Linked DNA regions of Canis lupus familiaris. The protein of the gene in region 1 interacts with the protein of each later gene in a pairwise test. Links are inferred from orthologs where the notes say so. Each region holds a gene or a part of one and is shown on either strand. Other genes may lie near its edges.

Evidence for each region.
Region 2: the proteins of DHX15 (region 1) and RBM5 interact in binary tests that used the Homo sapiens proteins (3 or more experiments, as listed by UniProt). The link is inferred for Canis lupus familiaris from reciprocal best matches to the Homo sapiens genes DHX15 and RBM5.

Annotation. Positions count from the first base shown.
Region 1 is NC_049224.1:86,179,499-86,182,998, forward strand, and holds part of DHX15 (pre-mRNA-splicing factor ATP-dependent RNA helicase DHX15), read left to right. Parts: intron 1-1,014; coding exon 1,015-1,233; intron 1,234-3,500.
Region 2 is NC_049241.1:39,622,160-39,625,659, forward strand, and holds part of RBM5 (RNA-binding protein 5), read right to left. Parts: intron 3,273-3,500; exon of another isoform or gene 3,073-3,272; coding exon 3,003-3,072; exon of another isoform or gene 2,517-3,002; coding exon 2,443-2,516; exon of another isoform or gene 2,397-2,442; intron 1-2,396. UniProt on the Homo sapiens protein: Component of the spliceosome A complex. Binds to ssRNA containing the consensus sequence 5'-AGGUAA-3'. Regulates alternative splicing of a number of mRNAs.

The DNA of each region.
Region 1 (3,500 bases):
CATGGAGAGAGGGTGACTGTACAGTCTTCATCGCTCTGTATTTGGAACAGCCTTTTGGTGACTGGCTTTTTACAACAGTGTAGAAAATCCCTGTTTAGCAATTTTTCTAAAGAAGTCATTCTTATTAAAGGTGATTTGGAAAAAGAGAAAATTTATATCTGTGCCACTGATGTTTTTCTTTTTTTCTATTTGCATTTCCTGCTCTTTCCTGTGTGTAAGGTTGTCCTGTTCTGTCTTAATAAACACAGTAGTAATTGTGCTATTTATTTATGTTGTCTTTTACCCTTCCCTTTTATATATTATATAAATCTTATGTAAACATAAATATGTTAAAACAGTTTATGAACTTTGGGCCTTCAGGTGTTATTTATTTCTTATTATATACTGTGTTCATTTCTAATTTTTTAAAAATGTCAGTAACTCTTTTATCATAGTTCAGCATTTCTGTATTTGATTTTTTTTTAAGATGTATTTATTTATTATTTTAGAGAAAGGGAGTGTGTGCAAGGCAAGGGACAGGGGAAAGGAGACCTTCAAGCAGACTCCCTGCTTAGCCCGAGGAGGAGATGAGGGACTTGCTCTTAGGATCTTGAGATCGTGATCTGAGCTAAAATCAAGAGTCGGATGCTTTTTAAAAATTACTATTTTTACTTTTGAAGATTTTATTTATTCATGAGAGACCCACAGAGAGAGGCCGAGACATAGGCAGAGGGAGAAGCAGACTTCCTGTGAGGAGCCTAATGTGGGACTCAATCCCAGGACCTTGGGATCACAACCTGAGCCAAAGGCAGATGCTCAACTACTGAGCCACCCAGGTGCCCCAAGAATTAGATGCTTATCTGAGTCACCCAGGTGCCCCTGCATTTGATTTTTTTAATCATTTTTGTAGGTTTTTTAATAATTGAGATATATATAGAACATAGACATTACTTGTCTTTTTTTCCTTAGGACCATGTAAGAATCCTTGAAGACTGCTTCAAATAATTAACTTTTGTGTTTTTTTGTTTCCCCCAGGTTATAGTTATGAGCGCTACATTAGATGCAGGGAAATTCCAGATTTACTTTGATAACTGTCCTCTCTTAACTATTCCTGGACGTACACATCCTGTTGAGATCTTTTATACTCCTGAACCAGAGAGAGATTATCTCGAAGCAGCCATTCGAACAGTGATCCAAATTCATATGTGTGAGGAGGAGGAAGGAGATCTTCTACTTTTCTTAACTGGTCAAGAGGTATTAATTGTCATTATTTGCTTAATTATTTAGCCTTTAGCATGTTAAATTATACAACAGCTTTTAAAATCTAAGAACATGGTATATATTAACCACGTATTTCTTATCCCAAGGTTTAAAGATTTTCCTCAACTTGACTGTATTTATGTATGAAGCATTATAACCCCTTTTTATATGTACTCTAAGAATACCCTTTTATACAATTGGTGTTTGTTAATTATCCTAAGAATGTTACGTGCTTTTAGAATTTCAAGATTTAGCAATTGCAGTTTTCAACTTTGGAGATACCTGAGTGGTAAGTGGTGGTGTGATAATTTGCAGCTTTGCTAAAGCATAAATTTGAACCACACAGCTGCAGTGAAATCATGTTGTCCTAGTCAGCTTGTGAGTGAAGTTGAGTGGCTTCAAATGTTTGTGTTTTGATTTTGTCTTCATGTGTTCACTGAAGATTAGAAGGAATCAGTGAAATTTCTTAGTTGGAATTTACCTCACTTTGACAGGTTTTATTCTCAGGTGTAGATTTTTTTTTTATTTTTTTGTGCTGCATTTTTTAAAACTTGTTTTCCACCGTAGGTTTATAGGTGTGCTATGAAATTCTCAAGCTAAAGTTCAGGAAAAAGCTATCTGGAGAAGACCATTTCAGAGAGCCTCTTACTGGAGGTTTTCTTAGAGCTTGTCCTCTGTTTCAGTAGGCTTTATGAACTTTCTAGAATGTATTTTTCTAACATACATGCAGTTCCACTTAGAAAATTTCCACTTACTGATTCTGATTCAGTAGGTCAGGTGTAGCCTGAGATTCTGTCTACCTAACAAGCTCCCAAGTAATGTTGAAGCTCTCCAGGGTTGAGTGGTGAGGTTTTGGGGTAGTGCTGTTCCATCAGACCTTTTGTTGGTGCTGAACATGTTCTGTCTGCCGTTCAGTATGTCACTCACCAGGAGTGTATGGCTTTTGAGGATTTGAAATGTGGCTGGTGAGAGGAGGGAATACATTTTAATTTTATAGCATTTTAATTTAAATAGCTACATGTGCCAACCTTCCTCCAGTTTCAGTTTTTGTATGGCCCACTAGTTAAGAATTGTTTTTACATTTTTAAGCAGTTGTAAATAAGAGCAAAGAATGTGCAACAGAGATGATGTGTGCATTCAAAGCCTAAATTGTTTTGGCCCTTTACAGTAAAAGGAAAAGGTCTGACCCCTGCCCCAGAACATTTTTCTCAAGTGTGATCATTGGACAGTCTACTTAGGAGAGAAGAGTAGAAGAGTTTGTTAAAAGCAAGTTCTTGGTCCTGTTCCAGACTTGCTGAGATAGGTGAAATCTGAGGCGAAAAAGGAATCTGCATCTTCAATGAGGTCTGTGGGCCATTTTTATATTTCCCTAGGTTTAAAGGTCATTGTCCCAGAGGAATGTTTAAACCAGTATAATTCCTGTAGTACATTAATGACACAACTGTAAACAGTGTTGTGGGGAATTGCTCTAATTCTCCCAGATACAAAAATCACAGGTCTTCTGTGACTGCCTACCTCCATTGGAATGTGAATTATTTTATTTGTATTCAATTTCTACAGGAATGCTTGATACACATAATATTCCAGCAAAGGCTGTTGTTTTAAGAGCTATAAATGTTGCGTCATTTCTTTGTCCTTGCATTTCTTCAGTATTTGTATGATCTATGATTTGTACCCCCATTGGCCACAATGCTTTTTCTGTAGAGCAGGTTTTTTCAACTTCACTATTTACATGGTTGGCCTATCAGTTTTTTTTGTTGTGGGGTAACCTGTGCATTGTGGCATCTTTGGTCTTTACCCATTACATGCGGTAACATTCTCTCCTCCAGTTGTAACAACCAAAAATGTCTGCAGAAACATTGTCACATGTCCCCTGGGTAGAAAATCATTCCCAGTACAAAATCATACTTGTTCTTTTGGGAAATAAAATGTGTTGCAAATTCACTTTTACAGATAAACCCTCTGTTGGTACCTGTCTTTATTTTTATGCATTTTGAATGGAAGAATTTTTATAAATTTTAGAAGCAAGAGTACCAAATGCTTTTTTGAGGGCATAAAAATGGTATTTATGCAATAATGCAGCCTTAGGCATTTGAGGTATTCATCTTGTCCTTTTGTGCCTGGTCTCTAGTTTCTTGATTCATATAGAGTGCTGTGTAGTGTATTTTCTTAAATGACTTTTTAAAATAGCCATTATGTTCAGATAACTAAGCATATTAGAATTTTATCAGAAATATCAGATGATCTCATGGTGAGAACCT
Region 2 (3,500 bases), on another chromosome or scaffold:
TCCATTTTCCCAGGGCAGAGCACACTTCGGAAAAATCAGTGCTCTGGAATTAAATGGACAACATACGGGGAAGACCAACCACCGCCACCTATACTCTGCCCATCCAATCCTTCAGATAGGCAGTAAGAGAATGGGATGCGGAGTAAAGGTAAACGGAGTCAGGGAGTGCTGAGAAAGCTGCCAAACTCTAACCGCTGACATGCACCAGGCCGTGTCTCCAGCAGAGACAGAAGTCCTAACATTCAGCATTGCCAGGCTGCCTGAGAGTGACAGTCTATTTCAAAAAGCAGAAGACACAATTCTCCCAGTTCTGAGATTGCCTCCTACTTTAGCCTCAGCATGGTGTCCTTGGGCTTCGCTTCACTTTTCCCCCAGTCCCCGTCCTTATGCAAAGTAAATCCTTTCTAGTTCCCCTTCCCCAAACTCTTGCTTCAGGATGTGTCCTCTGGGGGACAAAGGGAGGGGAGCTCAGGTTTTTTTGGGGGGAGCTCAAGTTTAAAGGGAATCTGGTTACAACTCTTTCTTTGGAGGGCCTATTCTGAATGCCATCGACTCTAAAGCAGCTAAATGAGATTTCTTCCTGCCAATTGAAACCATGTTATGTCCTAGGTGACAGATGTGTTTTTCCCTGAAATACATGGTACTCTCTTCAAGATGAGTAACCAGGAGGCCAATGAAGTTTCTTCTGGGGGGTCAGAAGAGTTCGTAAATGCATACACCACCTTACCCTTCAAGTCAACCACGTGACTAAAAGAGACACAACTTTAAAAGATCAAAACTCCAAGCTCAATCAGTCTAGCCAAGAGTATACCCAGCACCTGCCCCCAAAGAGCCTTCATTTAACAGGAGCACCTTTTCTTTTGCTTTTCATGGGGGGGAGGGGGATCAATGGGGGAGGGAGCAGGGTGTTCTGATACTATCAGAACAGATTTAAGTAAGAGGTTAGATATCCAGATTTTTAAAAGGAGTCTAACCCCTCTAAATATACATACTGTTGAGTAATTTGGTTCTTGAAAATCCTGGAAGAGTTAAGACATGCTGTGAATGTTGTCTCTGCAATATCTAAAGGCAAGACTGCATGTCTGGCCAAGAGGGAAAAAGCTGAAGGGCCATCCACTCACTTTATTGTACAGAAACAAAAATGAAGCTGGGAGATATGTCAACAGATCATCCCAGTAGGAGGGGTGTGTGCTGGGGGAGACTCCAAACTATCACTGAGTCCCTAATCCTATTGGTCTTATTTCTGGAGTGAATTTGAGCTGTAATGAAATATTACACGTGAACTTAGCTTTGTATACATTAAAATTGTGGAGATTTTTAAATGTCTTGTGAGTTTTAATTTCTTTGGAGTTTTAAACTCCCAGGCAAGCCATTCTGATACCTCCAATGCATCAAAAGATGCTGCTGTGTCAAGAGGGCAGACTCACATGAAGCTTGTGTATAGGTTCTCAATTTACTAACATGGTGTCCGTGGTAGGAAATGAATGAAACTCTATTTCTGTAAGATCAGGCTATCACCTCTGAGTTAAGAAAATGAGAGGTTTAAAAATCTAACAAATCATTCAATCAAAATGATATGCTCATTAGTGAGTCTTTGTTATAAACAGCAATACATACCGGAGTGTAACTTATTCGTGGGTGACAAATCATAAAATGTTGCAGAAAAGCAACATAATGAGTTAAACAAACTTCCCAGAACGCACTGGGTTAAGGCATTTAATACTGCACTTTGTGGAGTTCTGGCAAAAAATGTTATTTAAGTGCCAAGTACAGAATGTTATCTCGACAAACTGTGGAACACTTCAGTTAATGCTACATCAAAGAACCATCAATGATTTGCTTTGAACGGAATACAAAAGGCATTCTCAGGGAGATTAGAATGTTAATGCCACTTTAACTAGATTAGACAGCAGCAGGACACCAGCTTCCAGGCTAATCTCATCAGACTTATTGTTCATAAATTCCATGAGGTCCTTACATAGTCCTTGAAGACCCATATGAGCAGTTATGCCTCTTAGAGGCTTGTGGTCTCCAAGCAGAAAAATGGAATTACTTCAAAATGCCTGTAGCAGACTTCTACTGCATTCTTTTTGCTATTAAATCGAGAGTTGGATATTTTAAGATTACTCTCAACGGACACAATGAATAGGAACATCATCAGTAGGGGAAAAGAGAAGGTGTTTTGGTTATCACCAGACAGGTATTCAGTGATTAACAAACTCTGCCAGGCAGCCACGTTTAAAAGCAGAGCAAATTCTATAATGCAGTCCTTGCTGCTGTATTATTCTAATAATATCAATTTTAATATATACAAAGCTTTTCTTTTAAAAAAATCACTCCTTTGGAACAAACCACTCCTTCAACCTTTTTTGTTTTTTTGTTTTTAAATTGTACAGACTTGTTCCATTTTCATGAATATCTAGACTTGGTGAGTGAAGCAACCTGATTGGCTTCCATCCAGCTGGTAGCATCTTGCAAGTGATAAAACTCCACGAAGGCGAAACCACGGCTTACACCTAGAGACAGCATTCAGATATAGACGGGATACTCGTGTTAGTCAGTTCCTTTATAACAGGTGAATCTCTCTCCCACTGCTTCAACACTGCGTGACAAAGCCAATTGGGAAGCAGCTTTACAAATGTGACTTGACTTGGGGATCTTCTTGATACTTTGCCATGGCAAGGAACCAAGCCGCCTGAACTAAGTGCCACTCGATTTGATTCCACGCTTAAAAAGTAACCATGCAACCGACTACAAACAGTCAAACAAGGAGTTTATAAATCGCTACTTACCGAAGGAAAAAAGCCCCTAAAAACAAAGTTTTTAAAAAGGTCCTCAGGTGCTCTCTAATATCGTTTTCAAAGAGTCACATTCCTTAGCCATGGCAAACCTTTCATTCTGAATTCATGTGCTTGAAGATTGGGGGAATCAGGATGGTCTTTACGGGCTGAGGTGGGAATGGGGAAGAGAGCCAGAACAGCCGGAACTAAGCAAGCTCTCACCTGTTTTCCTCTTCATCAACCTCACGTCTGCTGGCTGAGGGCCTTCAAAGGACTCCATCATTTCTCGAATCTGTAGAGTTTTACACATTTATAGTTAAAGCTTCACCATAAACTATTCCACACCAAAGAAAGTTCAAGGACCAGGAACTGCAACAACTGCTTAATCAGCCAAATTTTAAACTTCTATCACCAAAATATAATCATTCTAAAAAGCAGAATAAAAAAAAAAAAAAAAAAAGAACATTTCTCATAGAAATGAATGTACTTTAACAGCCTTAAAAGCATTCTTTATATGCTGCCTGGGAACTTCCCTTAGATACAAGTATTTATGTTATGATAAACAGTCTTGCCTGGGTGCTTGGATGGCTCAGTTGGTTGAACATCTGACTCTTGATTTTGGTTCAGGTCATGATCTCAGGGTCAAGATTGAACTGTGTCAGGCTCTGCTCTTGGCAGGGAGTCTGCTTGGTCCCGTCCCCCCCCCCCCACTCCCCGGTC